Linked DNA regions of Schizosaccharomyces pombe. Changing the gene in region 1 together with any one later gene gives a genetic interaction. Each region holds a gene or a part of one and is shown on either strand. Other genes may lie near its edges. The genes, in order: SPOM_SPCC162.03 and opy1.

What was found.
Region 2: mutations in SPOM_SPCC162.03 (region 1) and opy1 together harm fitness more than expected from each alone (negative genetic interaction), as found in Schizosaccharomyces pombe (one large-scale study listed by BioGRID).

Annotation. Positions count from the first base shown.
Region 1 is NC_003421.2:1,581,961-1,585,841, forward strand, and holds SPOM_SPCC162.03 (dehydrogenase), read right to left. Parts: upstream 2,060-3,881; 5' UTR 1,823-2,059; coding exon 944-1,822; 3' UTR 624-943; downstream 1-623. Other genes in the region: SPOM_SPCC162.02C (AMP-binding dehydrogenase), read left to right, coding at 2,520-3,881.
Region 2 is NC_003421.2:944,016-948,275, forward strand, and holds opy1 (protein opy1), read right to left. Parts: upstream 2,370-4,260; 5' UTR 2,246-2,369; coding exon 2,126-2,245; exon of another isoform or gene 1,845-2,125; coding exon 1,782-1,844; exon of another isoform or gene 1,732-1,781; coding exon 1,656-1,731; exon of another isoform or gene 1,618-1,655; coding exon 857-1,617; 3' UTR 501-856; downstream 1-500. Other genes in the region: pog1 (DNA polymerase), read left to right, coding at 1-457; ade10 (bifunctional IMP cyclohydrolase/phosphoribosylaminoimidazolecarboxamideformyltransferase), read right to left, coding at 3,817-4,260. UniProt on the Schizosaccharomyces pombe protein: Binds phosphatidylinositol 4,5-bisphosphate (PtdIns(4,5)P2/PIP2) at the cell membrane.

The DNA.
Region 1 (3,881 bases):
AGTTAGCTTGAGATTCCTTCATGTTAGCTACGCAGTTTGGTATCTGATTTAAGGATACGTAGAACTGCGGTGAGTTTTCCTTGTGACCTATTATATTACATTACACAGGTTATATGAGTAGCAACTGAGTATAGGTATTGTATTAATTAGGTTATAATGTTACCTATCACTAATATAGCTCATAACTGAACTGAGGAACGAGGTTCAGCAGTAGCTCTATTTATATTATTCAGATAATATAGATCTTGATAGATTATCATTAAGATCAATCTCAATATCGTATCATACATGGTACTATATATACATGTGACATATAGTGATACGCAACGTAGTGTATTATAGCGTAGTGTAGTATTGCTGACACAATCCACATTATTTCGCAGCTCACTATTTGATAAACAATGAAAAGACGAAGCTAGAAGTAGGTAAGATTAGTATATGTTATGTTACGGAGCATAATTATAAACACGGATTCTAATACAATACAATGGAGATTCATGTACTTTACTTTGATCTTAATTTTTAAAATTTGTGACAATTCTAATGTTCTGACGCTAGATCATTAGAGGCACAAATTTTTGTCCGTAGCCTTACTAAACAGTATAGACACTGATGTTTGTTATTCAGAATTTATGAAGAAGCAACAGAAGTGGTGTTATATTCAAATGAATAGCATTAATTGGTAATTTGGAACGTTTCTTAATCAGTGAAATACACATTTTTTTTTACGAAGTATGAAAGTGAAAAATTTGTGCAAAGAAAATAAATGCAGACAAGTTCATTAATATTTGAACCAATGCATTGTAGTTTTAGAAATTGTTTGACTGCATTTTCTCATATGAATGTGTAAATAAGGAAATGATCGTTTTGCGATCCTCATATACATTCAACTCTTCATTTAATTCTATTCAACGAGATCAAAAAAAATTCTTGTATGCCTTCATCACATAGATTGAAGATTTTGACGCAAAGTTTCTACCGAAGCTGGATCAAAATCATCCTTTGCAACACTTGTACTAAGTGCAACATTACTTTCAAGCTCTTCCCCTATGTCTTGATGTTGCTTGCGGATTAATTCCAAGGAATCGTGGCCTAGGACAAGCTTTTGAGGCGGCCTGTCGAGTTTGGCAATGCTATATAACAACTCCGCAGCTTTGTTCGGGTCAGTTTCCTCGCAGCCATGATAGTTTTCCCAAAATGGTCGCCAAGACCTGTCATTTTCGTAGGCTGGATGAGGTTTTGCCCATTGCATATTAGAGGAAGCCCATTCTGTTTGCATGCCACCTGGCTGTACAATAGTTATCGCAATGTTCCAATTCGGATCTAACTCTCTCATAATTGTTTGCGAAAGCCCTTCGACAGCAAATTTGCTAGCATTATACATGCTTAAACACGGAGATGGGTAATAACCTGCGACTGACGAAATTTGTAAAATACGCCCTCCTTTACCGGATTCGCGCATGAGATTCAACGCTTCTTTGGTAATGTATGCAACTCCCCAAAAATTTACATTCATTTGACGATGCATTTCCTCAATGTTGTATGATTCAAATTCGCCAACAAGGCCATACCCTGCATTGTTGATCACTATGTCTACGTTTCCAAATCGCCTCTTTGCATCTTTGAAAGCGGTTTCAACAGACTTCACATCTGTAACATCTAATTTGAGCTTTAATAATTTTGAATGCTCGATGGTTATTGTGTCGGGAGCACGAGAACAAGCTATTACATTATAACCTTGGGCCAATCCAACTTTCACCAATGCATAGCCCAATCCTTTGGATGACCCAGTAATGAGTACAGTAGAAAACGTAGATTTCATTGTTTCTTATGATCGTGTTTCGTCTTTTGAGACACCACGATTGTACAATTAAACAATTTTTTTGCTTTCTCAACCAAGCCCGTTTTTACCCGATTACTGTTGTAGTAAGCCTTTTCAAATGGTATTCGAGTAGTTCACAATCGTCGCGTAACAGACAAACCCTGATTCTTTTGAGCTTCTTAACAATGAATTGCTTAACTTAACTCTCTAATCCACTTGCTGGATATTGCTTTTCCTAAGTCTTCATTTCTCGAAGTGAAAGTATGATGATGTTGTTGGTGTTCGGATGTCTGTAAACACTTTTCGTTTCTACTATCCGTAGCTCATCGTATAAAAGAATCCTATAAAGGGATATAGATAGGCTCAGTAATGTAGTGCTTGCGCTACGTCTCAAAACTCACCACCATACCGCTGTCTCAATGTCCTGAACAATTTGTGAATTAAGTTAGTTAACTCTTAAAGTTGTAAGAATACAATATGTTCTTCCGGATACTGTATACTCTTATTGAGGGCAATGGAGTCGGATTCCTATAGCCGGATCCTGGTTTTTTTACATGCAGTGAGATTAATGTATCGTTAGCATAGAAGACCGATTTGAAACAAGAAGTGTTAACTTTTTAACTTTACGAAATTTGCTGTTTGTCATTTCAAGGTTGCTTCTTTAGTTGATACTGGTATTGAAAATATTTAAAAAAAAATGCTGTGCGATTCGTCAGAATCAGTTTCGTTTTCATCCATATCTAAAGAAGAAGATACACCAATCGCTCGCCTTTTGAAAAACGCAAAAGAAACACCAGATCATCGGTTTATCTCCGTGTACAATGAACGTGGAATTGTTGCTAAATATACATATACAGAATTACTTCGTCGTGTTAACACAATTGCTAAATTTTGTGATGATTTAGGCTTGGGAAAGACAGTTGGAATACATATGGGACACGAGTTGGATTTTCTGTGTTCTATATTTGCTTTATGGGCTACTGGACGAACCTGCGTTATTTTTAACCAAATTTGGTCCCAGCAAGTTGTTCGTGTACTTGTTAAACGTTTGAATATTTCTGATTTGCTTTATCATGAATATAAGCCCAAGTTTGAGGTGGACACCTTAAATGCTACATCCTTGGCTTCGCTGCCGCTGGATATCGATGCTCCTTGTATTCGAGCTGGATTAGAGCCGGAAGTCGCTCTTATTAACCATTCTAGTGGGTCCACAGGAGTCCCTAAATCCATGCCATTTCTCATGAAGAAATATGCTTTGGGTTATGACTATGGAACTCCTGAATTTATGAATCATCTCTCCACTCCAATGGTAATGGCTACCAGCTTTGCTTTAACAACCTTGAGTTGGATTAATGCCTTGTATTGTAATGGGAACTTACTGTACCCATCCTCTTCGATATCGGCTACTTGCACTTCAGAGGCTGAACGGCTTGCTTGGAATGTTTACTATGCTCTTCGTGCTGGATGCGAACGTTTAATTATTTTACCCAATCTCCTTGTTCTAACTCTCCAAATAATGCCTGACAAGGAAGAATGCTTTCCTGCTTGTAAACTAGTAGCAGCAGGCGGTGAAATGGTCCCTGCAAACATGTATCATACATGCAAACGAGTATTACCAAATGCGACCATTTATCCACAGTATGGTACTACTGAGTCGGGATTGGTTTCATTTTTGGCTTACAATGGGAAAGACACACTGCATAACAAAGAGCTTGTCTATTTCCCTGGTAAAACCGTTAAAAAACTAATGTTAGTCACTGAGGATAACGAAGCTGTTCCTGAAAAAATTGGTTGCGAGGGCTTTGTTTGTGTTGTGACCGATGTACAATCGGAGCCTTATGTAGGCGATGATGCTGAAACTATTCAATCCCGTAATTCTACGTTTATAAATTATGATGGTCAACCAGCAGTGCGATTTGCTGACTTGGCGGTTTGGAATTCTTATAAAGGAAAATTGGGAATCACCATTAAAGGCCGGTTAGGAAGACGTGTCAAAAGAAATGGTGTATTCTTTGATTTGAAATATTTTGACCAAGTTGTTGTAGGATTGAAGGAGGTA
Region 2 (4,260 bases), 640 kb from region 1:
ATCCATGAATCATTTAATTAAGAAATATTATCTAGAAGCTCGCCTTTCTTTAACTGTTCATGACGAGGTTCGTTATTTATCATCAGATAAAGATAAATATCGGGTTGCATTTGCCTTACAGGTGGCTAACTTGTGGACTCGTGCGTTTTTTTGTCAACGACTTGGCATCAACGAGCTTCCACAATCTGTCGCATTTTTTTCTTCCGTTGATATTGACCATGTACTAAGAAAAGATGTTAAGATGGACTGTGTAACACCCTCTAACAAAGTCCCCATACCTCCTGGAGAAGAGCTTACTATAGAGTCAGTTCTAGAAAAACTCGAGCAGTCCGGTCAATCACTTGAGCCACTTGAGCAAATTCAGTGTTTTGTGGATGTTAAAGCTACTACTTCAGCAGAGATTACAGAAGAAGACAAAAAAAACATTGCATATTTAAAAGCACAAGCATTTTACTGATCAGCAAAAGAATAATTTATTTTAGTTAAAAAATGTGTTTTTCGGTTAGGATAATTTTAGGGATAGTTATGACATTGAAAATAATTTTCATCAAAAGGTTTGTTTAGTGGAGCGAACGATGGTACTACAAACTGGCTCATGACGAAGGAAAAAAATCATTAAATTAGAGCAAGAAAGACACTTTTGTAACTAGCTGTGTCGATTTTCGGACATTATCGGAAATATTATTAGACAAAAAAAAAACAACGAGATAGTCAAAACATATAGAAACAGAACGGATCAACACGTATGTACACGAAGGGTAAGGGGAGTCTTATGAAAGGAAATCACAAGAAGGTAGCTAGAAAAGTAGCTGAGGAATCGTATTATGCACCAAATATTTTGATGGAAAAGCCATTTTTAACAAGCAGTAAAAGTACCATTGGCCTTGTCAATAGAAGTCTTAAGTGCAGCAACCCAGAGTATAAGTGAATCTTCGTTATCAACGCGAAATTCGATAGGTTTGTTTTGCGTAATTACGGTAAAAAAGTATTTGTGTGAGCTTTCCGGAACGTTTATTTCAGCAACATCCTGAATGTCGGCTATCGGTATCACTTTAACAGGTTTGTACTCTCGGTTCGTGTTGTAAATAGTCATACCATATCCACGAACAACAGCCCAACACTTGGACCACCTATGTAAATTTCCATGTAGCCAGTGAATGGTTCCTTGCATAAGAACTTTATTTTCATCCAAGAGTTTATAGAGATTTTGTAAGGAAGCCGAATGCCTGTGCTTATTCAGCGTATTAACTTCTTGTGGGTTGAAGGGGTAATTTGCATTTTCTTCATTGATACCTGGTGGTCTCAACTTTCCAAACTGTATCAAATCATAAAGTGAAGTACAGAAATGGTCACCCTGACCAGTTTCCAAGTCTAAAGGAGAAGTCGTTTGATTACGAGGTTCAGTCGAAATATTGTCGAAGTCAGTATCAGAGATCTGAACGTTAGGCTCGCTTTCGGTTCGAGATGAAGAGTTCGCAAGGATATAACTGATAGGATGTCTTGAAAACGGTGCCCTATAACCCGTTGTGGATCTTAGAACATGAACCCATTCCTCAGCATCCTCATTTGAAGTGGCAATGAGACGAATTATCTTTTCATTTAAATACAGGAAAAAAGCTAAACATTAGATATAAACATCAAAAATTCTAACGTACTTTTTGGTGATTTTTCTTTGTAGTAGGCAACAGCTGAAATATCCTGAGTAGGGAAAATAAATTTGGTTTTGTACTCCTTGAAGACTGTTAGCGCGTCGTTGAAATTTGCACATTTTATTCACAAACCTTTTCGTCTTTGTAAAAAGATAACTGATCTCTGCGAAGAACAGCCCATAATTGCTTTTTAGTCTAGGTTGTTAGCATCCACTACAAAAAAAACCATGAGTGCAAATATTGACTCTGAAACGGGAAGCAAATAATTGGAATATTCTGAAAATCAATTGGTCAAAGTGCTTGTAGGGTGCTGTTTGCATCATCATATCCCCAAATCAAAAGCGAACAATAAAGAATTAAGAGTACGTATCATTCACTTCTAAGTACACTTCACAAAATTAAAGAATACTCCAAATCCCTTTCCACTCAAACGTATCGTAAATATTACTCAGACAACTAAGTTAATGAATACATACAGAAGTTGCATGTCCTTTCTTTATCAACCATCCGGATTTTAAAACACGCTCAAGCTCTGGAAGCCTTCTTGCTTCATCAAGGCTAGCAGTTCTGAGATGCGATGAAACTCCTGGGTCCATTTCATCAAGCGAATAGTCAAACTAATAAACGCCTTCTTTCTTTTGAATACATCAAGAAAATTCCTTAAACTGAAAGGTGTTAAACTAGAACGATGTAAAGTCGTCCTCTATACAGATTTTGGTTAAAATCACGTTTCCTAACGCATACGTGTTAGTGGTACCAGCGACGTACATATTCAGTAATAGCGTTCATTAACGTATCGCTATTTGTCAAGTGAAATTAAAATGTATGGTAGAGAAATTTCAATAATAGAAATGATAGTACGAATAAATTGTAGCAGTAGAATTGAGAAGCCTTCTTTTTGAAAAAGGTAGTCTGAAAATATGTCATCTTTATTTTGAGAGGCATACAACCATATAGTACATGGACACAGTAATCGTGTAGAAGTGCTACATCTCGTATACTAATTAAGAATCAAAAGAACTTTTGTAAATCCTACTGTTACAGAAATTCAACTTTAGGTTGTATTGGTGCACAGTGGTAAGGGATTGTTGTAAGGACTGGCAGGATGAAAACAAAAAAGCTATTTAAAGGGAGCACTTGTTCGCTGTAACAAAAAGAAAAGCAACAAGAAAGAAATACTTTTTTAAATATTTTTTAGAGAACCACTTTCTCTAATGTAGAAAGCGTTGGTCTTTCCCATTCGGTTCGAGACCTATGAAAGCTACTCAGTAGATACTGAGTTAGTAGGGAGTAGGGTTTAAACGTGATTTTAGCATGGTTTCTTGGAATAATAATAAAAATTCCCTTCCGTCCTCTATGCCATCTTCTTTATGCTTCACTTTACGTCCAGATAGTTGATAGTTTCCGGTCTTGTAAGATGATTATTGATATGGTAAATCAATCACAATCGAATGAAAGATAAAAGAATAAGAGTATGTAACCCTTTAAGATGGGAAATATATCAAGCAAGAATGGGGTTAAAAAAAAAACAATTTTAAAGTCATTAAATCCTTTTTAATACCATTAAATAGTACTAATTTTGCTCGTGAGTAACTAAGGTCGGGTAGCATAGTTGGTTATTGCGCACGACTGTTAATCGTGAGGTCGAGGGTTCGAGTCCCTCCCTGACCGGATTTTTTATGCTTCAAATCAACTGCAGCAAAAACATACGCTCAATCAATTTAATAGAAATTTGCAAACACCCAAGAACATGTTTAACTCAGTCAGTTTACTGCGAAGCTCACATCCAAAAAGCAGGTTTGATGGCGTTTTCCTTTCTACTTCATATGTTAGCTTAGCAACCAAAAATGCTTTATTGAGCCCGTTATGCTGTGAATTTCCAAGCTTTCGAATAAAATTGTTGCATTCGTGTTAAACAATAAAAAATATTTTCCCTACTATTACTGAAATAAAATGCCTTGAGTATCGGAAATCTTTTCAAAATTCAGGATACAAAAAAGATGCCAAATTTTTTTATATTAAATCAAAAAAAGTAAAAGACGTTGAAGTCTTTATTGTAATACCTCTATTAAATGATGGTATAAACTGAGGAAACCTATCAAATATACAGAACAAAAAAAATTATATCCATAGTAATAGTGGTCAAAAATTAGGTATACAAACAAGATTAATGGTGGAACAAACGCAAGGGGATCTCGGAAAAGACCATGTTGAACTCATTAGCAGTGTCGCGAACAGCTTGATCCATGACACTACCGCCAGGTGCAGCAACATATTTGACACCGCTTTGGGCAAGACGATAGATGTTGTCAGGGAAGGGGAAGAAGGCATCACTGGCACAGACAACATCCTTGCAAGTAGCCAAAAATTCCTCCCGCTCCTTTTTAGTAAGAGGCTCGGGAATAGTCTCGAATGCAGACTCCCATTGCTCACGTTCACTACCTTCAGCAGGAACGGCATCAAGGACGTACAAGTCAATAGCGTTAGATTTCTCAGGACGCTTAGCAGACTTCTTAAATTGCATACCCAAGACTTTAGGGTGATGACGAAGCCACCAGTTATCAGCCTTATCACCGGCCAAACGGTTGCAATGAATGCGGGATTGTTGACC